Oryctolagus cuniculus: one gene and its partners. Each later gene encodes a partner of the first gene's protein in a complex. Links are inferred from orthologs where the notes say so. Each region holds a gene or a part of one and is shown on either strand. Other genes may lie near its edges.

What was found.
Region 2: POLR2L (region 1) and RRN3 share a complex: the UniProt entries of both Homo sapiens proteins name them as parts of the pol I pre-initiation complex. The link is inferred for Oryctolagus cuniculus from reciprocal best matches to the Homo sapiens genes POLR2L and RRN3.
Region 3: POLR2L (region 1) and GTF2A1 share a complex: the UniProt entries of both Homo sapiens proteins name them as parts of the TBP-based Pol II pre-initiation complex. The link is inferred for Oryctolagus cuniculus from reciprocal best matches to the Homo sapiens genes POLR2L and GTF2A1.
Region 4: POLR2L (region 1) and GTF2H5 share a complex: the UniProt entries of both Homo sapiens proteins name them as parts of the TBP-based Pol II pre-initiation complex. The link is inferred for Oryctolagus cuniculus from reciprocal best matches to the Homo sapiens genes POLR2L and GTF2H5.
Region 5: POLR2L (region 1) and TAF1A share a complex: the UniProt entries of both Homo sapiens proteins name them as parts of the pol I pre-initiation complex. The link is inferred for Oryctolagus cuniculus from reciprocal best matches to the Homo sapiens genes POLR2L and TAF1A.
Region 6: POLR2L (region 1) and TAF1C share a complex: the UniProt entries of both Homo sapiens proteins name them as parts of the pol I pre-initiation complex. The link is inferred for Oryctolagus cuniculus from reciprocal best matches to the Homo sapiens genes POLR2L and TAF1C.
Region 7: the proteins of POLR2L (region 1) and POLR1B are in contact, whole or in part, in a cryo-EM structure (PDB 7OBA), measured with the Homo sapiens proteins. The link is inferred for Oryctolagus cuniculus from reciprocal best matches to the Homo sapiens genes POLR2L and POLR1B. Residues at the interface, in NP_066951.1 of Homo sapiens: Met1, Ile2, Pro4, Arg6, Cys7, Phe8, Thr9, Cys10, Gly11, Trp18, Tyr21, Leu22, Leu25, Gln26, Glu31, Gly32, Arg42, Tyr43, Cys44, Arg46, Arg47, Met48, Leu50, Ala51, His52, Val53, Asp54, Leu55, Glu57, Lys58; in NP_061887.2 of Homo sapiens: Leu16, Leu19, Thr20, Asp21, Pro22, Tyr24, Gly25, Pro27, Ile157, His160, Glu161, Glu162, Ala163, Phe698, Leu701, Thr702, Arg713, Gln715, Thr716, Pro717, Gln718, Ser719, Leu721, Asp733, Asn734, Pro736, Asn740, Ala741, Ile742, Asn760.

Annotation. Positions count from the first base shown.
Region 1 is NC_091432.1:353,577-356,234, reverse strand, and holds POLR2L (DNA-directed RNA polymerases I, II, and III subunit RPABC5), read left to right. Parts: upstream 1-1,155; 5' UTR 1,156-1,225; coding exon 1,226-1,320; intron 1,321-1,922; coding exon 1,923-2,031; 3' UTR 2,032-2,158; downstream 2,159-2,658. UniProt on the Homo sapiens protein: DNA-dependent RNA polymerase catalyzes the transcription of DNA into RNA using the four ribonucleoside triphosphates as substrates.
Region 2 is NC_091450.1:18,617,051-18,620,550, reverse strand, and holds part of RRN3 (RNA polymerase I-specific transcription initiation factor RRN3), read right to left. Parts: intron 1,051-3,500; coding exon 898-1,050; intron 1-897. UniProt on the Homo sapiens protein: Required for efficient transcription initiation by RNA polymerase I (Pol I). Required for the formation of the competent pre-initiation complex (PIC).
Region 3 is NC_091451.1:27,055,452-27,059,488, forward strand, and holds the start of GTF2A1 (transcription initiation factor IIA subunit 1), read right to left. Parts: upstream 2,801-4,037; 5' UTR 2,347-2,800; coding exon 2,317-2,346; intron 1,698-2,316; exon of another isoform or gene 1,561-1,697; intron 1,374-1,560; exon of another isoform or gene 1,268-1,373; intron 1-1,267. UniProt on the Homo sapiens protein: TFIIA is a component of the transcription machinery of RNA polymerase II and plays an important role in transcriptional activation. TFIIA in a complex with TBP mediates transcriptional activity.
Region 4 is NC_091436.1:9,585,004-9,589,101, reverse strand, and holds the start of GTF2H5 (general transcription factor IIH subunit 5), read left to right. Parts: upstream 1-1,298; 5' UTR 1,299-1,441; intron 1,442-2,075; 5' UTR 2,076-2,113; coding exon 2,114-2,148; intron 2,149-4,098. UniProt on the Homo sapiens protein: Component of the general transcription and DNA repair factor IIH (TFIIH) core complex, which is involved in general and transcription-coupled nucleotide excision repair (NER) of damaged DNA and, when complexed to CAK, in RNA transcription by RNA polymerase II.
Region 5 is NC_091444.1:36,964,311-36,967,810, reverse strand, and holds part of TAF1A (TATA box-binding protein-associated factor RNA polymerase I subunit A), read left to right. Parts: intron 1-2,711; coding exon 2,712-2,881; exon of another isoform or gene 2,882-2,986; intron 2,987-3,500. UniProt on the Homo sapiens protein: Component of the transcription factor SL1/TIF-IB complex, which is involved in the assembly of the PIC (pre-initiation complex) during RNA polymerase I-dependent transcription.
Region 6 is NC_091449.1:65,916,349-65,919,848, reverse strand, and holds part of TAF1C (TATA box-binding protein-associated factor RNA polymerase I subunit C), read left to right. Parts: coding exon 1-95; intron 96-171; coding exon 172-261; intron 262-353; coding exon 354-427; intron 428-931; coding exon 932-1,170; intron 1,171-1,291; coding exon 1,292-1,613; intron 1,614-1,694; coding exon 1,695-1,766; intron 1,767-1,856; coding exon 1,857-1,992; intron 1,993-2,081; coding exon 2,082-2,225; intron 2,226-2,634; coding exon 2,635-2,809; intron 2,810-2,886; coding exon 2,887-3,024; intron 3,025-3,104; coding exon 3,105-3,500. UniProt on the Homo sapiens protein: Component of the transcription factor SL1/TIF-IB complex, which is involved in the assembly of the PIC (pre-initiation complex) during RNA polymerase I-dependent transcription.
Region 7 is NC_091433.1:113,624,438-113,627,937, forward strand, and holds part of POLR1B (DNA-directed RNA polymerase I subunit RPA2), read left to right. Parts: intron 1-511; coding exon 512-793; intron 794-2,983; coding exon 2,984-3,117; intron 3,118-3,500. UniProt on the Homo sapiens protein: Catalytic core component of RNA polymerase I (Pol I), a DNA-dependent RNA polymerase which synthesizes ribosomal RNA precursors using the four ribonucleoside triphosphates as substrates.

The DNA of each region.
Region 1 (2,658 bases):
GAGCAGGGGCGGGGCAGGCCCCTGACCCCTCCCCCAGGAAGGCCCCACTCACGCGCTGGGCGCCCACCGGGCTGGCCTCCCGGACCCGGGCTCCCTCTCCTCCACAGCCGCGGCCGCCGAGCCTGGGTCTGACCCCAGGCCACGGTGACTCACGGCCCCATCCTGCCCCTCTGGCCAGGGCAGGATGTGCGTCCACTCAGCCTGGGGGAGGGAGGCAGAGAAGGGAAGTGGCCAGGGCTCGTGGCTCCGCACGTGGCCGAGAGGGCACTAACCCTGGCAGGGCAGTGGCTCTGGGCAGCCCCACTCCGGACCTGAGACCCTTCGTCCCCGTCCCTGTCCAGCGTCTGCCCTGAGCGGGCACTCAGCAGATGCCGGGGTCCCGCGTGAGGACCCCGCCCCGGCCACACATCCAAGGCCAGCAAACCTGGCCAGAGCCCCGCGGGGGCCACGGGCAACACCCCCACAGCCCTGCGGCTCCCCAGCCCGCCTGGGGCAGCCGGGGCACCAGGCTCAGCCCGGTCCACCCGGGAGGCAGCAGCCCCGCCCGTGGAGCCCCTGAAGGGGACGCACAGCTGGGGCTGCCCCTACGCGGGGGCCCTGGCCTTCGAGGGTCAGCTCAAAGGGGCTGACCACACGCCCAGCGCCAGGCCCGGGAAAGAGCGAACAAGACGCCGACAGACTGCCGTCGGGGCTCCCAGCAACTCCCCGCGGGGACCCGAGCCTCGCGCAGGGCTCAAGGGACAGCGACCGGGTCCAGGCCGGGCCGGGCCGGGAGGCGGGAAGGTCCGTCCGAGGCCTCCCGCCCCGGGGCCAGACCCTCTCGCCGGGCCCCTCGCCCGGCCCCACTTGTTGCTGCGACCGGCCTGGGGCTCCGCACTGGAGGTGGCGCTCGCGCGCCGCGGCTGATGTCCGCGTCCGGGTCCAGCCGGCGCCCGCGTAGTACCTGGGCCGCCGCCTCCCGCCGCCGCACCGCGTCGTCCGCTCCCGCCGCGCAGCTGTCAGTCAAGCGGACACGAGAAACGCGAACCGGCGCCGCCGAGCCCTTTTGGCCGAGCCCAGTCGCCGTAGCGCGGCACGTACCAAACCGCCGGACGGGGGGCGCCGCCGGACGCGGCCTCCAATCGGCGCCGAGGAACCCCGCGCCAGTGGGCGCGCCCGGGGCGGGGCCTGCAGCGCCGCGGACGGGCCCGGCAGTGCGCGGGGCTGCCGCGGAGTGCGCGCCGCCATGATCATCCCGGTGCGCTGTTTCACGTGCGGCAAGATCGTCGGCAACAAGTGGGAGGCCTACCTGGGGCTGCTGCAGGCGGAGTACACCGAGGGGTGAGGCGCCGGGCGCGTGGGGCCCGGGGGCGGGGCGGGGCGGGGACCGGGCCCACCCGCGCCTCCTGTCCCGCGCCGCGGGCTGACGCGGGGCTGCGGCGGGGCGGAGGGGCAGGGGCTGCTTTGCCGAGGCCCCTCGGTCGCGCCTTCTCACTCCCAAGCCGCCTCCTCCGCCCCCCGGAGCCAGCGCTGCAGGAGTTTTCTGGAAGCGTCTCGTTGGTTTCCGGAAGTAGAAGGGTGGCTCCCTGAGAGTGGGGGTCCCGCGGGGCTGCGGTCGTGGTCGGGAGTCCCGGCCCCCGGGGGAGGGGGCGCCGGGGCTGCCCTGGCCACCGTGAGCCCAGCCTGGGAGAGGGCGGGCCGGGGCTGGGCCGGGAGGCTGGAGCCTCTGGGTGGGGAAGGGGTGGCCCTGGGTGGCTCCTCCCCGGTGCATCCTGGGGGGACCTGTCCACCTGGCCTGGAGCAGGGGCGAGCCCGGCTGTCTGGTCGCAGGGATGCTCCGGCCGCTGGGCCCGGGCTGGGCCGGGAGGCCGGAGCCCCCGGGTGGGAAGGGGCGCGCTGGGGGCGAGCCCGGCGCAGGCCGCCTCACTGCTGTCTGGTCGCAGGGACGCCCTGGACGCCCTGGGGCTGAAGCGCTACTGCTGCCGCCGAATGCTGCTGGCCCACGTGGACCTCATCGAGAAACTGCTCAACTACGCGCCCCTGGAGAAGTAGCGCCGCCCCGCCATGGCCCGCGGCGTCCTGCCCTGCGTCCTCGCGGCCGGGCTGTCAGACGCCGGGAGCAGAGGCGGGCCGCGCGCACGCATGTCGCCAGCCGCCCAGTAAAGTCCTTGCACAAACACCACTGGTCCCCTCCTTGGCCTCGCTCCGCCCCCCCCCCCCCAGTCCACCTGGCCCAGCTGTCTCGGGGTCCTGGTTCCTGCTCCCTGGTCCCCGCCCACCCAGCGTGGCTGCTCGTCCGAGCCTGCACTGCCTGCTGCGGTCAGCGGCTGCCCTTGCCTGGGTCCCCACCCTGTGGCCCTGTCGGGGTCGCACCAGCCCTGAGCGCCCTCAGGCTCCCGGGGGCCCTTCCCGGGCTGTCCCTGCGGGCCCAGGCTGAGGGCCAGGGAGCAGCTACTCCCAGCAACCCACACGGGGCCGAGCCCGCGGTCAGCTGGGGACGGGGACCAGGGCAGAGCAGGGCCATGGTGGCCGAGCCACTGCTGTCCCCAGGGTGTTGGCCGCATCGCAGAGCTGTCCCCGGCTCCTGGCAGGACCTGCAGGCCCCTCGTCTGCTCACTGCCTGTGCCACAGTGACCACAGTGGGCCCAGGGCCAGCTGGAGACGCCAGCACCCCTACGC
Region 2 (3,500 bases), on another chromosome or scaffold:
AAATAATTCAACACAAATAAAAGTGTATTTAGCTCTTTTCCATAAGAGTTACTTTCTAAAAAACAAGAGTAAAAATCACAGTTATAATAATAATGTCCAAAAATACCAGTTGGCTAATATGCTGTGTTAAGAGGTTCACATATGCACTTAGATGGACAGTCATACCTACTGTTTCTCCTCTTTACATTTACAGGTGAAATTCTTGATTCACAGTAACTGCCAGCTGAATCACAGTAAAACCAAATGAAAACTAAATCACAATATTCTAGAATATCTTTTTTTCTTTCATATTGAAAAACACATCTAGGAACAACAACTACTCTGTTTCCAGTCCATCAAGGCCTGGGAGACCACACACTTCCAGAAGGGCCCGCTGCTAGTTAAAAACCGTGTAACAAGCAAAAATCTTGCTTCCCTATTTAAATACAGAGTTAAGACTCGTTTGGAGGGTTCCAGAATAACCCCCTAGATAAACCACCTGCCTTTGTTTACCCCATGCAACAGAATGGGACGTGGTCTCGGGAGGAAGGAACAGGTCGGCAGAAAATTATAAACCAAGAGCACATAGCACTTCCCTATCCTGGTGCCTTTACTGCCGCCCCTCATACATTTCAATCAACTTTTTTTTCCCCTAAAGAACAGAAAACCATTTTGTGTCCATCTGTGTTCCTACTAAAGAAAAGATCTACAGACCCTGGTATGCCTGTGACACGCAGCAGACCCTGCAAGTGATCTCTAATGTGGCCTGGGAAATCCATGCCAAGAGAGCATGTGACTCTAATAACGAGCTAGGAAGGGTCGCTTCAGCAAAGAAACTGTAAAGCCAACCTTGGGAAGAGCAAACACACATCACATTCAAACTCACCACTGGCAGCACTGACTGTTTAAGGTACTCACCTCTTCAGCACACAAGGATCAAAGGGGAAGAAGGTGTCAAGTGGGTTGGTGCAGGTCTGCACCGAGTCCCCGCCAGCTGTATTTCTAATAACTGGTAGCATCTGGCGGTTGTTCCTCTCAATGATAGTGTAGCAGAAGACGAGCTGGTATTTGCTGTGGACACCAAAATCAACACAGATGGAGGCATTACCATGCTGGAATCACTGCATGGATGTGACTTACATGTCACAACTGCACGGAGCACACAGATGTTGACAGAACAAGTGCATGAAAAAAACAACACAAAGCAGGAAGTAATGCTTTCAGGGTACTTTGAGCCTAGGACTAACAAGCCTTTTAAGGAAAAAGAAAATGTGGCTTTCACTTAAAATATGAAATTGGACTTAGATCAATAGGCATTACCAAAAAAAAAAATATCAGTATGTCTGCCAGGTAAAACTCTTTTAACACGCATAATTATATAGCTATCTTTACTTCTGCTGTTTGCAAAAGAACCGGGGTTAGTGGAAAAGGGATTCTTGGGACGGACATCGTGGCACAGCAGGTTAAGCCATCATTTGGCATGCCTGCATCATACACTGGAGGCTGGTCTGAGTCCTGGCAACTTCACTTCTGATACAGCTTCCTGCAAGGCAGCAGATGATGGCTGTGTCTGGATGGAGTTACAAGCTCCTGATTTTGGCCTGGCCTGGCCTGGCTCTGGCTGTTACAGGCATTCAGGAAGTGAATTGGTGGACAGAAAATCTATTTTTGTTGTTTTTAATTTATTTATTTAGGGGACAGCACTGTGGCAGAGCAGGTAAAGCCGCAGCCTGCAGTGCTGGCATCCCATATGTGCTCTGGTTCAAGGCCCAGCTGCTCCACTTCTGATCCAGCTCTCTGCTATCGCCAGGGGAAACAGCAGAAGATGGCCCAAGTGCATGGGCCCACGTGGACACCTAGAGGAAGCTCCTGGCTCCTGGCTTCAGATTGGTGCAGCTCCAGCTGTTACAGCCACTTGGGGAGTGAACCAGCAGATGGAACACTTCTCTCTCTCTGCCTCTGCCTCTAACTTTGCCTTTCAAATAAATAAGTAAATAAATCTTTTAAAAAAATTTATTTGTTTACTTGAGAGGCAGAGTTACAGAGAGAGAGAGAAACAAAGAGAGAGGTCCTCCATCTGCTGGTTCACTTCCCAAATGGCCTCAACGGCAGGAGCTGGCCTGATCTGAAGACAGGAGCCAGGAGCTTCATCCAGGTCTCCCCAGTGGGTGCAGAGGCCCAAGCACTTAGGCCATCCTCCACTGCTTTCCCAGGCCATCAGCAGGGAGCTGGTTAGGAAGTGGAGAAGCCAGGAACTGGCATTCTTATGGGATGCCGGTGCCACAGGCAGAAGCTTAGTCCACTAAGCCACAGTGCTTGCCCAGGACAGAAAATCTTTCTGTCTCTGTACTGTTCTGCCTTTCAAGTTGGTAAAAGGTTAAAAAGATTTTCTTTAAATAATAAACATTAAGAACAAACACCACGGATTCCAGAGTCAGTGAGGGGGAACAGGGGCTGCTGAAGGAGACTTAGCTGCTTCTGAATAGAAAATTGGGACTTTACTGAAAGCGGGGCAAGGGGTTGACCAAGTAATGGGTAGGAAAAGGAATAGGCACGGTGAGGCTAGAGATGTGAAACAGAAGAACATAATAAAAACCAACATAACCGTATGAGATCTACATCTCCTACAACCTGTGTGACAAGAAACATGTGCCTGTACACGAGGGCACACACACAAGAATAATCTTATGCTGTTGTACCCAGTACTGAAGCAAAAAACCAAATACAAATCAAATTCCGACAAAGACTTTTTTAATTCTAAAAATATTAATAGGCTATACCACAGCAGTTAAAATCAAAACAAGCTATAGTTGTCAATACAAGGGGATTTCAAAAACCTCATAGGAAAAATGGTATTAAAAGACAAATTTATTTGGGTTTGAAAAGAACTGAAATCCATGCATAGTTTTTTTGTAATACCCACACCTTCAGTAAACTTTGTGAAGACACGTCTTATGGCTGCATCCCAAAACCATGAAGAAAAACAGCAGCAACATAATGGTCCCTGGACCACTGGGCACAGACCTTTGTTTGTCTCCTACTCTCAGCCTCATCTCCTACGCTTCTGTCTGCTGCACGTGCCAACCTCAAATCCAGAGTGCAGTCCTCCGCCCTAACCCCTAAATTATTCTGGGGTCACCGCCTCATCTATCCTCACTCTGCCGGCTGCTCCCCCTCTTCAGCAGTATAGAAACCTTTTCCCCACTAAGCGTGGCTACACGTCGGCTTCTCTATTCCTTTCTGGAATCCTTCCTTACCATTTCTGAGATCCCCGAGAGACAGGACACCTTGAACTAAATGCCTACTGAAAGAACATGAGGGTTCCTGGATGACAGCAGCAAGCTGCCTAAAGGGGACTGAGGCAGGAAGACAACCATAGCCTTAACTGTCTTCATCAGTGAGGACCCCACCTGAACAGCCTCATTAAACGGCCAGGCTCTCCAGGTCTCTCTCCTCGAAGCAGAACCAAGCGAAGCGTGCACAGCCGCCACTATGCTCTCAGACCTCAGCTCTGCAGTGTT
Region 3 (4,037 bases), on another chromosome or scaffold:
ACATAATTTTAAGTAGGTGGTTTAAATCTCAATTTGATGATACACATTATTTTTTCAGCAAACCGGATGTTTCTAAAGTCAGTTACCCTAAAACTCTTGGAGACCCAAATGTCTACAGGAAAAAATCTGTTTTCTTCTGGTACTCCTCCCTGTTGAACAAATCAAACATGCCTTTGAGATGTTCTTTTTCTGCCTTAAATGAACCAACACTTGGCCACCTAATGTATTCATAATCACTATAGTGGAGGCATGAAGGGAATATGTATTCCTTATGAGGTCTATGCTTAAAGAGGAAAATTGCTTACAATTTGAAAAGCCCTCAAAATACTGATGTCATTAAAGGTTCTTGGGAATTTGAAATCAGTGATTTTCAAATTTTTAAAAAATTATCCTTTACTTGAGCGAAGTTTTTTGCTAAATGAAAAGTAATTTATATTTGTCCTGATTTTTAAAGACAATTCCAGGCTCAAAATGTGGCAAATTAGAAGGTCATTAGTGGCCCAGTCAAGTGATCAACTCGAAGGTTTCTTTCAAAAGTATCAGTACTGCTGCAATCCTGGCATATTAATTGGAATCATTTTTATATTGGATACCAAATTAATATCCAGGGCAATAAACCAACACCTACTTAGAACTTTAATATTTTAAAAGCCAGTTTGCAGTAGGTCTCCTCATTCTTGTAACTCACAATTGTCCTACACAGTAATGTATGTGGATAAACTGAGGCTTTAGGAACTTAGCTGTTTCTTTGAGAAGCGTCATATCCTCATTAGAGTAAAACATGAAACACTGCTAACATTTCCTGAATACCTGATGAACAACATGCTATCATAACCAAGTTCTAGTCCAACAACAAAATCATTTAAAAAATTCCCTACAATAACACGCACACCTTTCAATACACAAAAATCGACTAAACCATCCGTGTTTTAAAATATCAAAAATGTTAACATAAAAAAAGGACTCCAATAAGAGAGCGCATTTCCCCAAACAAAGGAAGCAAATCCTAGCTACCGCATCCAAACAAAAAACTGGGGCTCTGAAAGCAGCCCTCGTCCGCTGGGAAATTACAGCCTCAGAAAAGGACCTAGAAATAAATTGAGCTCCGCACGCGCCTGCCTCTCGCCTCGGGAGCACGCACCTCCCAGCCCCGCTCAGCAGCTCTCACTATTTAAAGCCGGATCTGGTGTTTAAATGGAGAGGCGGTGACGTAGGCCTGAAAAGCACCTTCCCATCCTGGCAGAGTCTATATTAGAGAGCGGCAATGGCTCTATATAAACAGGGCAGCCAAAGGGAGGAGGACCACAAGGCTCAGGGACTGAAAAGCAGGGTAAGCGGCCGCAGCCATGATGGATCGACCCGAGTCGCCAACGGTACGGTGTCGGGCGGCCGCGGGTTTGTCCGCGGCATTCGGGACCGGGCAAAAACGTGTTTTATTGTCGTAGTAAAAAGAAGAGTTGGGTGGGCTAGTGATCACACTGCGTTGGTGACTGAAAAGGTTATTTATGTGACTGCTTTTTGCAAACCTACGTGATCGCAAGGAACCAAAAAGGGACTCACGGGAAGAAGTAGGCAAATTTCAAGGCGCAAGCGGGGCACTTTGACCACTGGAGGCTTTTTGGGGTTTGTTCTGGTGCTTTTGCTAGTTGAAGATACGACGGGGGTTTTGCTTCCCCTTCGCCATTTTACCCATTCGGAAGGAACTGAGATAAGTGCTTTTCAACCTTCGTCTGTTTTTTTTTTTTTTTTTTTAACATAAAATGGCCCCATTGAAGGTCCCCAAAGCACAACCGCCAGGAAAAAAACAAAAAACAAAAAAACCCAAAGTAATCCTCCAAGTAACCCTAAGCCTTCCACTGCGTTCAAGTGGATCCCGGCGGGTCCCGGGAGCTGGCCCAATTCCCCAGCCGCGGATCTGATTCCGAGGCCGCTTGGGGAGCCTGGTCGAGCCGGCGCCGACGGGCCCCCTTCGCGGGAAGCGGCGGCTCGCCGCCCGCCCGCCCGCCCGCAGGCCGGGGCCGGGGGCCGGGGCCGCGCGCCAGCCCGGGCCCAACGGCCTCCGCGGCCCGGACCTCCCCAGGCCCCGCCGGCGCCCCCGCCCGCCCCGCCGCCGCCGCCGCCGCCGCGAGCCCTCGGCGCCCCCCCCGCGCCCGCCGCCCCGGCCCGGGCCGCCCGAGGCGGGAAGCGGCGGCGGCGGCGACCGCGCGGGCGGCTCCAGCGCCGAGGCCGGGATCGCCGCCGTCCCCGCCCCCGCCCGGTCCGGCCGTTGCTGCCGCCTGAACGAAGCCCCCTCCGGCCACCGAACCACGTCCTTACCACGGTGTTTGTATTTGCCGAGTTCGCCATTTCCACACACAACACAAACAACACGGGGGTAACCCCGGGAAAACACGGTCAAAACAAAACCAAAAAGAAAAAAAAAAAAGAAAAGAAAAACCACCCGGAGGGCGACCCAAGTCACCACAGATTGGGGCAAAAAATGGAAACAAAATCGATTCTGAGGGAGAGGGGGAAGCGGTGAGAGGAGAAGGAAGGGGACACTCTCTCCTCCCGAAGCTAAAAACCTCGAGAAATGCCTTAAAAAAAAAAAACACGCCAAGACCCTTCGGGGGTCCGGGGGGCGTTGCCCACTCCCCACCCCGTGCCAAGGAGGGAAACCACCGGTCACCGCTCCCCGCGCCGCCGCTGCCGCCACCGGCTGCAGCTCCAGCCGTCCGGTCCGCTCGCTTCTCCCCTTTATATAGCGAGCCAACAAGCTGCGCGAGCCGCCGCCGCCGCCGCCGAGAGACAGGGCGGAGGGGGAGGGAGGGGCGGAAAGGGCGGGGGCAGAGGTGGGCGGGGCGGAGCGCGAGACACCGCGAGAAGCCGCGTGCGCAGGCGCGCCGGGGCGGAGGCCGCCTCGCGCCGCGTCGCTACGCGCGAAGGAGGGCGCTGGGCGGGCGGAGCCCGGGGACTGGAGTAGTGGAGTTGGCCCGCCGGCTCCCCAAGTCTCGCGTGATCACGTGGTTGGCAACCAGGCGGAAGTCTCCTGCAGCCCTCTGCGACCGGGAGCTTGCAAGGCATTGCTGGGAAAGGTGCGCGAGTTCTAGTGACACCCGAGGGCTCAGCTAGCTGGGAACGCCTCCTGTCAGACGTCTGCGCGCCGAGCGGCGCTGCGGGAGCTGGGGTATGGGAAAGGGGCGGTGGCCGCCGCCGCGCTCGGCGCGGCCGAGGAGGAGCGCGGGTCACGTGGAGCGGCTTCCGGGCCCCTGGCGCGCCTGGCTCGGGACAGGGTGTGAAGTGCGGAGTCATCTTGTGGCCCCGGGGCTGCGCGCGTCTGAGTGGGCCTCTTCTCGCAGGGCTGAGTCTGTTTCAAAAGCGGGTGGGAGTCTATTTGGGTCCTCGGTCTGCACGGTCCAGAATTAGCAACCTCCGAAGCCGGCGCAGCTGTTTGTCCCCACGCTGAGTCTGGGTATCAAGGATTTGGGGGCGAAGTGTCCCCAAACTTTCGGCCCCCGCTAGCCCGCGTGGTTTTAATGACTTCGCAGCCTGATGGAAATGACAAAGCGCGAAACTCCAGCCGCTGGACTATGGAAGAGCGATGACTTTGCCTGGCGTTTTAAAAATGTTGCCAACATGCCATGACTCCACGTGGCTAGCCTGGAGTGACTAATCACACGTGAAGTACGAGCCTTTGACCCACCAGTTAACACGGCCTCTCCCTGCGAGAGAGCTGGGAGCATGTGTCCGTGTCGTGGAGGGCATTCGATAGGCGTTTGACCTGCTTCACCCAAGCAAAGCCAGCTTTGATGTCAACATCTCACGCGGAACAGAGTGCGCTGTCCCGAAGGCAGAACCCTCAGTACCTCATTTTCTCTAGCCCGGGAATTTTGAGTGAGGGGGTTTATCTTCAAAAGGCAAAGCAAAACAGAATATCAGAAGAGTTGTGTGGGTGAAACCAGGTTTGAAGACTTATCAAAGGCATGCTACCAGGGGGGGGAAGATGCACCTTGCCAGGCTCCGGGAAAGGATTAGAAAAGCAAGAGGCCGTTAATAGA
Region 4 (4,098 bases), on another chromosome or scaffold:
TTTATATAAATTTTGAAGTCTGGCATGTCGGGTTTCATGAGAACCCAATACAGTGATTTTAACTGGCATTGCACTGAATTTACAGCCCTGGGGAAAGCCGATTTCTATTTGGTATCGAGCCTTCTGATCATGAATATGATGTATCTCTCCGTCACTCAAGTCTTCCATGTGTTTCAATAAAGCATTATCATTTTCTCCCTAAAGGAACTAATGCTTTAGTTTCACTAACTTCCAGATAATGTTTAGTCTTGGAAGTTACGGATTATTTTACTATTATTAAAATTGCTAGTATTTTGCTGGTATCAGTTTTTTTTTTTTTTTTTTTTTTTTTTTTTTAATTCAGAAACCTACCTAAAGGCCATTTCTGACACTCTCCATGCAATCCCTACCGCGTCACCACCTGGCATTTTGTCCTTAACATTTTTGCGGCCCTCTGTACCTTCACCAATAGACCGCAAACGTCTAGAACACGGTTTGGCACCTATCAGGTGCACAACAGTGCTCGCTGATCCAGCGGATGCAGATTTTAAAACTGGGTGACTTGGAGAGACACGGGAAGGAAAAGCAGGTTTTTAACGGGAGGGGGCGGGCGGAGGATGAGCAGCTCCGTCTGAGCGGTGGAGTGCACGTTACAAACGGGTCCCCCGGCGCGGGCATCGGGCCAGCACCCCGAATCCCCGGCACACCGCCCACGCGGAGCGCAAGGCAGAGAGAGCCAAGGGCACTCGCCAGGAACGAGCGCCCCGGGACGCAAGGCACGTGAAGACTCGGGGATCGCAGCTGGACCACAAGAGCCCACGCGGGGAACGGGCAAAAATCCGCACGAACTTCACCCGGCAGGTGCAACTCAACGCAAGGCGCCCGCACCTCCTCAGAGCGCGCGCGCTCCCGGGCCGGGTCGGCACCGGCGGGATCTCCGCGGGCTCCCCCTCCGCCGTGACCGAGGCTCCACGCCCGGCTGCACGCGGGCAGCCCCGCGCGGCGCCCCCCGAGCTGGGCAGCCGACGCCAGAGGACACTCCGGCCCCCGAGGACCGGAGAGAGCCCCTCACGCCGCGCGACCTCGCTGGGGCGCCCCGTCACCGTGCTCCCACGCGCCGCCGCCCGCGTCCGCCCTCACGAGCCCGGCCCCCCAGTCCTCCTACCTGCCGGCTCGCGGACACGGCCCGCCCCCCGACCGCTCACCGGGAATCCCGGCGCCGGAGAGCCCACCCTCCCGGCGCGGCCTGCCCCCGGCCCTCCACTCGGCGGCGGCCGGCCTGTGGCCCCGCCCACGCGGCCCAGCGCGCGCCCCGCCTCCCAGCGGCGCGCTCCTCCCACAGAGCGTCCCCGGCGCGATGACGTCACAGGGCAGACGCGCGCGCGCGCTGCGGGGCATCTGGGGGCCGCCGGGTCTGTGGGCTGCGGTGCGTGGCGAGCTCGGGGCAAGCCGGCGGGGTGAGGTGCGTGGGAGACCGGGCGTTCCCGGAAAGAGAGGGAGGAGAAAGATCGGAAAGTCTGTCCTGCAGGTGCTGGGGCGCCAGAGTGCGCCCCGCTCTGACGCGGCGCTGGGTGTCCGTGCCCTGGGCCCCGGGGTAGCGGTTGGAGGGGTCAGGGGGCGCCCGCCGCGCCTGGAGCTCGGAGCGCGGAGCCTGGGGGACGCGGTTTACCCGGGGAGGGAGCCCGCAGTGTGGCTGTGTCCCCCCACCCCCGACCTCCCGGTCCGGTCCGGTCCGGGAAGAACGGCGGCTTAGGGTCCTCGCCCTGTCTCAGGTCCGAAATGAAGAGGCTGGGCGCCCTGTAGGTCTTGCGGCCCCCTCTCCCCCGCCCTCCGGGACCTTAGCCTTGTCAAGCCCCCGGGTGGGGAGCCGGAGTACCGGGGCGCGGCGCGGCTGTGGGGTTCGGCCGCAGGTGTATGTGTGCGTGGTGGACAGCTCCGGACAGACTCCGTTTTGTGAGAAGCTCAGAATGGCTGCATGTCTCCTTTGTGTTAGCTTCGTCTCTGATAGACTTCGCTGTTTATACTGACGGGGAGTGGCTTGCCTTGTTCCGGTCGATGCTGTTGAATGACATGTCCACCTTGTCCTTTTTTATTAGCTTGGTTGAGATCCTCTGCCCCTTCCGGCTGGACAAAGATGGTCAACGTCTTGAAAGGAGTGCTCATAGAATGGTTAGTAGTTTTGATACCTCATTTACGTATTGACTCAAACTCATCTGACCTTTTCTGAGGTCAAGTCCCTTTTTCGTTTTCTTTTCTAAGGCCGGAATGCAATCAAGTCTTTCCATTTTCTACACTTTCAAAAAGTGAAACGTTTTGTCGCTAAATTTCTTCCAGAGTGTGGGGGGGAGGGGACAGAATTCAGTGTCTCCGTTGCATTAGTGTAATTGGCATCATTTCCAGCGATTTTTGATCAGAATTGATCGGCCTAGTCCTGGAGGGAAAGGTTACTCGTAATCTCTTCCAGCCATCAGAAGGTGACAGAGTTACAAGGCCTGTAAGATGGCAGGAGCTCCGTTGCCTTCATTACAAACTGACCTTTAAGGAGAAAGACAGGGCCCGTTAGGGTTTCTTGAACTCCTTTGCACACATGCCAGAGAAACCGGAGACCATCCCGGCCAAGGTTGAATTTGGCAAAGCAGTGTAATCTAGAGGGCTCGGCGATTGCCCAGTCTCCAAAATCTGCACTCCAGAATCAGTCTTGCTCCTTGTCCACTTGCTGGCTCACCCACCAGTAGTTCTGTCCCATGAAGGAACTCTGGCCTGCGCACCTCTGTGTGCCCCTGAGATGGCCATCGCACAGATGCTGCTATGTATCCCGTGACGGTGAGCCAGCCTGGGGAAGGGGCGAGGACAACAGCCGTCAGATTCGAGCGGCACCCTCCAATAGGAACAGAATGCAAGCCACATATGTAATCTTGAATTTTTTAGTAGCCACTTCTGAAAGTAAAATTAAATGGGTAAAATGAACATTTTATTTAACCCCAACATATTGAAAATATTCTTTCAGCTTGTACTGAGTTTTCAAAATAACAACAACAACAACAAAACGAATGCATTTGAAAGGCAGAGTTACAGAGAGGCAGAAAGAGAGAGATCTTCCATCCACTGGTTCTCTCCCAAAATGACCGTATTGGCCTGAGCTGAGCCGACCTGAAGCCAGGAGCTTCTTCCAGGTCTTCCACCTGGGTGCAGGGGCCCAAGGACTTGGACCATCTTCCACTGCTTCCCCAGGCCATAGCAGAGAGCTGGATCGGAAGTGGAGCTGTCAGGATTCAAACTGGCACCCACAAGGGATGCCAGCACTGCAGGTGTGGCTTTACCCACTACACCACAGCACCAGCCCCAAAAAACAGTCTTTAAAGTCCGGTGTGTATTGTGCTTTTCCAACATATCTCACAGACCGGCCCTATTTCAGTTGCTCTAGTGAGTGTGACTTGTGGGCTGCCTTATGGTTAGTACAGATCTGGAGTTTCGGCATAGGTGACCCGGCAAAGAGTGCAGAAGCTAAGGGAGAAAATGTTGCACGGAGGTGAATGGGCTGTAAGCAGGAGTGGTGAAAGGTGGATGATGTGAAGACAGACTAGATGAGATGCAGTCGATCTTTGGTAAGAGCTGTTTCGGTGGCGTGGTGGGAAAGGTGCCAGATTGGAGTGTGTTTGTCCCCCGCTCCTCCCTGGAGAATACTCTTCCAGCCCCTCCGCGGATGCCTTCCACCGCAGGTGATACCCAACCGTAAATGTAATGCCTTCCCGTTCTTACCTAAGCACTTAGGATGCACTGTGGTGATAACTTGCAGTTTGAGATGGGAGAGTAAAAGTAACAGGAACTTCTTCTACCAACACGATTTCATGAGTGGAGGATTGACTCTCATCATAGGTCGAAGCAACACCACACTGTTTTTTTCCCTGTGCTTATTAAGTGGAGAATTTTCACCACTTCACTTGAAGAAAGCATTTTACAGCTTCTCTCTGCTTTACCCGATTTGCACACTCCCTGCTCTTGCATTTGGGACAATTACTGAGTAAAACCAGGGCGCCTCAGCACAGCAGTGCTCTGACAGCCGAGGTCGCTGAGAAGACTGAGGGGCGGGTAGCACATCCAGCAGGACCGAGCACGGCC
Region 5 (3,500 bases), on another chromosome or scaffold:
TTGAAAAAGAATAGTTCTGTTCCTCTGTTAATTTTTTTTTTGCTGTGTTAACACATCTGTTAGGTTTGAATGGTTGGTACTTCAGCAGGAATGCTCCCACATTGCTTGTAGGAAACGAGTAATTTGAACTTGTGCTAGTTAAGACATCTCTGGGCATGTTTTTGTCACTATTATTGTAGATCCCGAATCTGCAGACAAATAGAGTATACATGCATAAGATGTTTCATGTGCTATGTATGGATAGGCTATTAAATCCAAAGTACTTTCTTTTTTATTTTTTGACAGGCAGAGTGGACAGTGAGAGAGACAGAGAGAAAGGTCTTCCTTTGCCGCTGGTTCACCCTCCAATGGCTGCCACGGCTGGCGCGCTGCGGCCGGCGCACCGCGCTGATCCAAAGGCAGGAGCCAGGTGCTTCTCCTGGTCTCCCATGGGGTGCAGGGCCCAAGCACTTGGGCCATCCTCCACTGCACTCCCGGGCCACAGCAGAGAGCTGGCCTGGAAGAGGGGCAACCGGGACAGAATCCGGGGCCCCGACCGGGACTAGAACCCGGTGTGCCAGCGCCGCAAGGCGGAGGATTAGCCTAGTGAGCCACGGTGCCGGCCAAAGTACTTTCCGTCTTCTATGAGAAAATGTCTTTTTAAAGATTTATTTTATTTATTTGAAAGACAGAGTTACAGAGAGAGTTAGAGACAGATAGAGAGGTCTTCCATCCACTGGTTCACTCCCCAATTCACCGCAACGGCTGGAGCTTCTCCCGGGTCTCCCACATGGGTGCAGGAGCCCAAGGACATGGCCATCCTCTACTACTTTCCCAGGCCATAGCAGAGAGTTGGATTGGAAGAGGAGCAGTTGGGTCTCAAACTGGTGCCCATATAGGATGCCGGTGCTTCAGGCCAGGGCTTTAACTCGCTGCACCACAGCACCAGCCCCAAGAAAATATTTTGCACGTAATAGTGATCTTGTAGTAGAAATTAGCCATAATAGGAAAATAAAATTGCCAAACACTTATTTTTTATCCTGGGAGATTCTTTTGGCATTTTAAAGGATGTGCTCCTTAGAATAAAAAGTTTGAAGATAGGCAAATCTAGGTTAGAACTGTATACAGGGGCCAGCGCCATCTTTCACTGCTTTCCCAGGCCATAGCAGAGAGCTAGATTGGAAAAGGAGCAGCTGGGACATGAACTGGTGCCCATATGGGATGTTGGCCCTGCAGGTGGAGGCTTAGCTCACTACACCACAGTGCCAGCCCAGCCTAACTATTCTTTTTTTTTTTTTTTTTAAAGATTTATTTATTTATTTGAAAGAGTTACACAGAGAGAGGAGAGGCAGAGAGAGAGAGAGAGAGAGAGGTCTTCCATCCGATAGTTCACTCCCAATTGGCTGATCCGAAGCCAGGATCCAGGAGCTTCTTCCAGGTCTCCCACATAGGTGCATGGGTGTGGGGGCCCAAGGACTTGAGCCATCCTCTACTGCTTTCCCAGGCCATAGCAGAGAGCTGGATTGGAAGTGGAGCAGCTGGGACTGGAACCGGCGCCCATATGGGATGCTGGCGCTTTAGGCCAGGGTGTTAACCCGCTGTGCCACAGTGCTGGCCCCAAGCCTAACTATTCTTAAGATGGGATTACTAATGCTTTAGAGATAGAAAAATCTGTCTTCAACTGTTACAACTGAAAATGTGGCCCTTTTTTTTAAGATTATTTGTTTGAAAGAATTAGGAGAGAGGGCGAGGCAGAGAGAGGGAAAAAGAAAGAAAAATATCTTCCATCTGTTGGTTCACTCCGCAAATGGCTGCAATGACCAGGGCTGGACCAGGGTGAAGGCAGGAGCTAGGAAATTCATCTGGGTCTCCCATGTGGGTACAGGGACCCAAGCACTTGGGCCATCTGCTGCTGCTTTCCCCATGCACATTAGCAGGCAGCTGGAATTGGAAGTGGTGCAACTGGGACCAAAAGCTGGTCCTGGGAACTTGGTTCTTAAAAAACAAAATACCCTTTGGGATTTTTGGGACATTGGTAGTCTTTCTTAAAATGACCTGCTTGCTCTGAGTACCCGTGCTGTGTTTTTGAGGGCCTCTTTGTTAGACTTTCCACAGTTACTCAGTGCAAGGACAAAAAGATGATTGAATCAGGGCTGGCGCCGCAGCTCACTAGGCTAATCTTCTGCCTGCGGTGCCAGCACCCTGGGTTCTAGTCCCGGTTAGGGCGCCGGATACTAGTCCCGGTTGTTCCTCTTCCAGTCCAGCTCTCTGCTGTGGCCCGGGAAGGCAGTGGAGGATGGCCCAAGTGCTTGGGCCCTGCACCCGCATGGGAGACCGGGAAGAAGCACCTGGCTCCTGACTTTGGATCAGCACAGCCCACCAGCCATAGCAGCCATTTGGGGAGTGAACCAACGGAAAGGAAGACCTTTCTCTGTGTCTCTCTTTGTCACTGTCTAACTCTGCCTTTCAAAAAAAAAAAAAAAGATTGAATCTGATCGAAGGATTGGTGACTGGTGGCCCAAGAATGTCTAATTAGATTTTTTTAAATTTGATAAAACTAGTTGATATGGTACGGAAAGATTTGTTTCAGGTGAAGCTAGTTTTAGTACTGGGAATGGGCTGGGTCAGGTAATTCCTACTGTTAATACTTGTTTGCACTTCTGCTTATCAGAAGCAAGTTTTTTGGATAGTTGAAGTCCTTGTGAGTAAAAGCTCCTCTTGCTTCTTTGTAGTGATCGGAGGGAAAAAGAAGAAGGATTTTGCTCAGACAACAAGTGCTTGTTTACGTTTTATCCAAGAAGCTCTGCTGAAGCACCAGTGGCAGGAAGCTGCAGAATATATGCACAGCTATTTTCAGACCTTGGAGGATTCAGATACCTACAAAAAGCAGGCTGCGCCGGAGGTAAACAGAAGTCAAGTCTGATAGAAGAAAGGACAGATTCTGGAGTTCCTGCTTGCAGCTTCACTCAGTAGCTTGTGTAGGACAAGTGGACAAAAGTTACTACAAGTAATTCTGAGTGCAAAGTTTGTGTCTAGTACTTGTTAGCATTTTAGTATCTATTAGTCTATTTTAAAGGAGACTAAAAATTGTTTGAACTCTTAATTCTGAGATTCCCCAATATTAATTAATTAATTCATTCATTCATTCCAATAATACCTCCTCCTTTCCCTGTCTCATTATTTTCCCTGTAGGATGTTTCTCATCATCATATAAAAAACATTGTTATTTCTATCTGAAAATAATCACTTGACACCACTTTCTTTACAGACTGCTTGTTCTTAGTTTTCTATTCTCTGTTTCAGCAAAACTCCTTGAAAGACTTCTCTCTCTGCAGCTAGAGTAGTCCTTTTTTGGGGGACTCCAGTTTTATCAAGACCTAATTGGCCCATACAATTCATTCATTTCAGTTGCACAATTTTTTTTTTGACAGGCAGAGTTAGAGAGAGAGACAGAGAGAAAGGTCTTCCTTCTGTTGGTTCACCCCCAAATGGTCACTATGGCCAGCGTGCTGCACCGATCC
Region 6 (3,500 bases), on another chromosome or scaffold:
CCTGGGACCCCGGCGTGACTGCCCAGGACCTGCTCTTCCGTGGAGGCTACCAGTACCGCCGGCGGCCCCGGGTCGTGCTGGACGTCACCGAGCAGGTGAGTGCCCCGTGGTGCACGGCGCCGTGTGGCCGGGAGGCGGTGCTTAGTGACCCGGCCGCCTCTCCTCCCCCAGCTCAGCCGGTTCCTGTGGGACCATGGCGACATAGCCTTTGCACCCCTGGGGAAGCTGATGCTGGAGAACTTCGAGCTGGACGGAGAGCAGGTGAGGAGCTGCGGCCGGCCGGGACCGGGGCCCGCCCGGCTCACTGAGGGTCCCGGGCGTGCGGCCCTGACGAGCCTTTCCGTGCCGTGCAGAACCACTCCACGAAGAACGCAGTGGTGCTCGTGAAGAGGCTGCTCGAGGACCTCGGAGGATACCAGCCCTGGGGGCAAGTGGCCAGTGAGGGCCCGGGGGGGACGGCCCCGCGGCGGGGCGGGGGGGGCGGGAGCTGGGCCGTGGGTGCAGGTCTGTGGCAGTGCCGCCCCCGCCCCGTGAACCAGGCTTCCTGCAAAGCTCCCACGCCCGGCCGGCCTGCGGGAAAGACGTCGGAGGGGCCAGCTGGGCGCCGGCGTTCAGCGCTTGGTCAGAGTCCGCTCTGCTGTCTGTCCGCTTCCTGCTGGCCAGCTGAACTCTCAGACGGCTTCCCAGAGGCCGCGAGATGGGGCAGGGTTCGGGGAAAGAGTCGGGGAGCTCCCTGAGGCCACAGAAGTCCTAGAAAGGACTTAGGTGGGCTTGGCTCGGCTCTGTCGTCTGGGAGCCAGGCCGAGCGGCAGGCCCAGGTCATGGGACCCAGGGCATGAGAATATGGGGGGGGGGTCCCCGGAAATGCCAGTCGGTGAGAGCGCGCCCAGCCCAGCCTGGCCCGTCTCCAGCTCTTGCCCTGCGTCCCCAGGTGCCCCTGGGCGTCCCTCAGCCACCGGCAGCGCCGCTTCTCCTTCCTCGGGGGCTCCGTCCTGGGCAGGTCGGTGGCCAGCGTCCTGGGGGAGCTGCTGCGCGAGGAGCTGGCCCTGCGGTGGGAGCAGCTGGTCCTGGACGACACCTTCACGGGGGGCGCCCTGGCCTGGGTGCCCGGAAGGTCGCCCCGAGCCGGGCAGCTGGTCTACCCTGCCGGGGGCGCCCTGGACAGCCTGCGTATCCTTTCTGCCCTGGCAGTGGGGTGTGTGTGTGCGCGCGTGCGTGTACGTGAGAGTGGCGTCGGGGCTGGGTTAGGGCCTGACCGGAGCGTGTGCACTGGCCCTTAGCAAGTGCCCAGATTTCCAAGAGATCAGCCTGACCTCACGTGGCCGGCCTCGCGTCCTCGGAGCCCCTGGACGCATCCAGCTCCGGGGGCCTGTCCGGCAGGTGGTGACCTGCACCGTCCAGGGAGAACGTAAGGCCCTTAAGTGCCTCTGTGCCTCGCTCACTCGCCCGCTGCCTGACCCCTGGCCCCTGACCTCTGGCCTTTCCTCCCCCTCAGCCCTGCTGGCTGTGCGCTCTGACTACCACTGCGCGATGTGGAAGATGGGGAAGCAGGGGCCGCCCGCCCCCCTGCAGGTGCTGCAGGTCCGGGAGGGTGCCACGGGGATCAGTCTCAGGTGAGGGCCGAGTGCGGCTGGGCAGGGCCGGGCCGGCGGAAGGGGCAGGCGGCCTGACGTGCGTCTCGTGGTGTCCCCTAGCCCGCACCTGCCAGGGGAGATGGCAGTCAGCAGCCGATCTGGAGCCGTCTGTCTGTGGACCCCCCAGGATGGGTAACGCCCCCTCCCCTGAAGCCCTCCACGCCCTGGGCAGCAGGTCCTCGTCGTGGTGACCCCCACCCACCACGTGCCCGTCTCCCGAAGGCTGCAGCAGGTCTATAAGGACCCTGAGACCCTCGTGTTCCGCGACCCTTCTCCCTGGCGCTGGGTGGACTTCACTGCGCACCCTCGGGTGCTGACTGTGGGTGACCGCACTGGAGTGAAGCTGGTGGACACCCAGGTATGGGGCCCGTGCCAGCGACCCCTGGCTGCAGGAGGGCAGTGGTGCCAGTGGGTGCAGGGGCGAGGCTGACCCCATGTCTCTCCCAGGGCCCACCCGGCTGTGGCCTGCTGCTGTTCCGTGGGGGCGCAGAGGCCTCCTGCCAGAAGGGGGAACGTGTCCTGCTCGCCCAGTACCTGGGGCAGCCCAGCCCCGACACTCTGCCCCCTACGCTGCACCTCATCTGTACCCAGGTGAGTGCCCCCCAGCCCCACTCCACCCCCTGCTCCGTCTCAGTCGCCCGGGCCTGAGCACAGATGCACAGAACGCTGAGGGATGGGTGTGGCCTAAACACAGCCCGTGCTTGCAGACCGAGGGAGGGCAGCCGAGGGCCCCAGGCGGCAGTGGAGAGGCGTGGGGGGGCAGCCGAGCGCCCTGTGCTCTGCCCTCTGCCCTGCCTTCTCCCCGCCTGTCACCACAGCGAAGCCCGGATCAGGGCCCAGAGTGGGTGGGGACGCCCATGGGAAAGGCAGGTGGGTTTCTGTGTGCTGAGACCCCCATAGCTCCTCCCGGGCCCCCTCTCCCCAGCTGCCTGGGCTGTGGACCAGGCTGGGCATCCCCACCTCAGCCACACCCCTCCGCCCGCCTCTTTCTCGCCCCCAGTTCTCGCTGTACCTGGTGGACGAGCGCTTCCCCCTGGTGCCCATGCTGAAGTGGGACCACGGCTTCCCCTCCCCGCCCCTGCTCGCCCGGCTGCTGCCCCCGCCCCGGCCCGGCCACCCACAGCCCCTGCTGCTGGGAGCCCACGGTGGGCAGCTGCAGCTGCTGCAGGTCACAGGTGCGGGCCCACGAGGGCAGGGGTGGGGGCGGCAGGGCCGGCCCTGAGCAGGCCTCAGCTGTCTGTCTGTCTTCTAGGAAACCTGACCGCTGCCCCCAGGCTGGCAGGGCCCCCCCAGTCACTTCCTTCCAGGACCGACTCTCTCTCTGCATTTCCCCTGCTGGAGCCCAAGAGCCACTGGCAGCTGCAGGAGCGCCTGGGCGCGCCAAGCATAGGTGAGCTGGGGGGGAGCTGGGGGGAGCCGGGCTGGGGGCGCGTGGGCCAGGCCTCCAGGTCATCGTCCTTCCACCTCCAGGTCTGGCAGCTGCCTTTGTCCCCGCCGCCCCGACGCCGGCGCTGTCCGTCTTCCAGCTCTCCGCAGCGGGAGACATCTTCTATCAGTACCTCCACCTGCGGGCGGACTCCAGCCTCTGCCAGGACGAGCCCAGGCCCGGCCGCCAGACCTGCGAGGCAGCAGCACCTGCCCCGGACAAGCCGGCCACACCCCCCACTTCCTGGACCCCACAGGCCACCGCCTGCTGCAGCCGATGGCTGGATGCCCTGCTGGAAGTGCCCCCGACTCCGCCCGTCTGGGCTGCGCCCACCTTTTCCCACCGCCGACTGCTCCCACGACTGCTCCTGCAGCTCGAGCCCCAGCAGGTTGGGGGGAAGGTTCCGGAAGCTCTCCGGGCAGCCATGGCTGAGGGCCGGC
Region 7 (3,500 bases), on another chromosome or scaffold:
TTTAGGCCAGTTCTTAGCACCAAATGCCTTTCTTGTGCCTCCTGGAAAACTACTTAGGTCTCTTGAGGGAGGGCTGCCTGGTAGGAGGCCTGGGCTGATAGATGGCAAGTCCCTCAGCTGTTTGCATTCGAGTGACCTGAACTTTGAAAAGTCACGCCTGGGGACAGAAATCTTTATTTTGGTAACAGATGCTGCTAATGCAGATTCTGTGGTTAGCGGGCTAACTCAAGGGTGTGAATCCGCTGGCCTGCCTCCCACATCAATCTAATGACTTAATGTTCTCCCACAAAGGGGCTGGTGCTGGAGGAGACGGGGAGCCAATGGGTGTGATTGTGAAACCTGGTGGGGGGGGTTGTTTTCACTGTTTTTGTTAAGCTCCACTTACCACTGCTAACAGTATGTGTTGGAGTAACCCACTCTGATCTATAGAGTGCTCTGAAGATTTGTCTTCTCAAAGATTGAACAAATAGACTTTGCTTGACCCTTTTCAAGTGACTTCTGTTTTGTTAAGGTCTGGGCTTCCTGCAAGATTCTGGACTTTGTGTTGTGGCTGACAAGCTGAACTTCATACGCTACCTCTCCCATTTCCGCTGTGTGCACAGAGGGGCTGACTTTGCCAAGATGAGGACCACCACCGTCCGCAGGCTGCTCCCGGAATCCTGGGGCTTCCTGTGCCCTGTGCACACCCCAGACGGGGAGCCCTGTGGTCTGATGAACCACTTAACTGCCATCTGCGAGGTCGTTACGCAGTTTGTGTATACGACATCCATCCCACCTTTGTTGTGCAGCCTGGGTATGTGACCAACAGCAGTGAACGGTCTGGTTTGGGTGGATGGCTTCTAACAGGTACAGACTGTTGGGTTAATGCCCCTTTGGGGATTCTGTAGTGACTTCTCACAGAAGTTCCTTTTCACTCTTCTATGCAATAGTTGGGCTACTTTTTTGGCTTGCCTTTGGAAGATCAAATTCATTCTTTGAAAAAGGAAACAGGAGAACTTCAATGTGGGTAGGTGATTTGTTCTTTCTGAAACGAACAGTATCAAGACATTTGAACAAGACCAGCAGTTAATATTGGAAGTATAGAAGCTATTGTGTAACTTTAGTTCTCCAAACTTCTGTGGGAGGACCCCTGCCGTGTTGGTGCAGGAAGATGTTTAAAAAAAAAGGTTGTCCAGTATACTTAATGCTGCCAAGTATATAACCGTTGCTCCTGGCTACCTTGCAGCTGCTGCCTCTGCTGTGGCTTCTCTCACACTGTTCTCCTGTGTCTGATGCTTGGTTTGAGCTTACCTTCATACTTAGAATAAACAGCTTTTTCTTTGAACAGTTGCCAGTCCTGGGGTCCTCCAGTTGTGATTTGGAGACCTAGTTTGGTGGTCTGTGGGTAGGTTCTCCAGTGGGATTAAGGCTTACACATTTTTGGGTCAACTGGCATAGTTTTATGTGGTTCTGGTGAACGCCTCCACTTCCCAGGGGTCAGATGATCATAGAGTTTCTCTAGCAACCAGAGAATGTGGAGTCAGGGGTCCAGAAATGTCAGCTTACAAGTGCTTCTCCCAGTTAGAGGGGGGCCAGAGAGAAGGAGGCCCCAGAGAAAGGCATGAAGAAATACACAAGATTGAGAATGTAAGCAGTATAATTTGTACATTCACCATCTACAAGGAAAAGGATGGCTTTGTTTGCTACTGGGGATTTAAATGCCAAAGCCTGGGAGATGGGAGAAAGGCGAAAAGAAAGAAGTGGGCAGATGGGAAACGTGTCCCCTGCTGAAGAGGAGATGGGAAGGGTGGTTTGCTCCGGGCCTGGGGAAGGAAGCGACAGAGATGGTCGGGCACTGTAAACGCTTCGGGTCCTCAGGAGCTCTTAGGGGCTCCTGGGTGAGTGCCCTTTCGCCTGATGACAGGTGGTTCTTGGTGGTGGTGCTGGGTCTGTAAAGCCCCTGCCACCCTGAGTTAGTGAGTGCTGCAGTTCCAGGGGTGCTCCTGCAAGCCCCAGGTCACAGCCGCTTTGGTCAGCTGGTGTAGTTTTATGTGTTTCTAGTGAAAGCACCTTATTCAGCTTGTGCTGTTGATTCCTGGATGTTGCGGGGCACCGTGACTGTAAGTGTACCTGGATAGCGTGCAGCACAGCCTCACACCCTGAGGAGTGCCCGACAGCACTGCAGTGCTGTGCTTGAGGTCCGCGTTAAGTAGCAGAGTCGCCAACAGAAAGCAGAGAGGCCGCAAGCACTGAGCGGCCTGCACTTGTTCCACCTGTTTCCAGTGTCAGAGCTGAGGCAAAGCCGCGCGTCCCCTTGATCCATCTCAGCTGGGAATACGCACGCCCGAGTTGCGGCTGCATGTCCTAAGATGGCCTTGAAACTGCCCTTAATCTTGCTTTTGTGGTTACAAATAAAAAGTAGCAAGCAGGTAAATTATAAGTATGGAATCTGCAAATAATTATATATTTTTGAAAACAGTTATGTGTACGTGGCTCAGACGTCATACTTTAAAGAGTGTACGGGTATAGGGAGAGGCTACCTTTCCTCCCTCTCCTGCAGCTCCTCTCCCCCAAGGCTAGTTGATATGTAAACTGTTGAAGCTGTTGATGAACCCTCCGGAGGGCATTTGAGATGTTGGCTACAGGGGCCGGTGTGCTGTGGCTCACTTGGTTAATCCTCCGCCTGCGGCACCAGCATCCCATATGGGCGCCGGATTCTGTCCCGGTTGCTCCTCTTCCAGGCCAGCTCTCTGCTGTGGCCCGGGAAGGCAGTGGAGGATGGCCCAAGTGCTTGGGCCCTGCACCCCATGGGAGACCCGGAGGAAGCGCCTGGTTCCTGGCTTCGGATCGGCGCAGCGCCGGCCGTGGCAGCCATTTGGGGAGTGAACCAACAGGAGGAAGACCTTTCTCTCTCTCTCTCTCTCCAACTCTACCTGTCAAATAAATAAAAAGAAATGTTGGCTACAGCATTCTGACGTGATCATCCCGTCTGTTCCTTCGCCAGGGGTCACACCCATCGATGGGGCTCCACACCGACCGTACAGCGAGTGCTACCCTGTCCTGCTGGATGGCGTCATGGTAGGCTGGGTGGATAAGGAGCTTGCTCCCGGCATCGCAGATTCTCTCCGTCTTTTTAAGGTGATCTTCAGTCTGTGAGTTGTCGCGTCTCTGGACGTTCGGTTTTGGGTCCTTTGCCATGGATGAGATGGCCCTAGGGCAGTCTCAGGTGGTCAGCGGCCAGTGGTTTGAAGCTCATTGAAGAGCTGCCAGTACTTTCCTCCCGTGGGCAAAGGCTTGCCCACTGCTGACCTCCTTGGCAGGGTCTGTGACACGTTTGGCCCATCTGCAGTTTTTGGTCGTTTCATTGAGATCCCAATGTAATAAATTTTAACTTTTTCCTTCTTGTTAATATTAATAGCATATAAGGGATTTCAAAATATGAACATTTCAATAACAGTAAAGATACATGAGAAATATAAGAAATACAAACATCTGCCTGCTTTTAAAGGGTGAACAGAGTA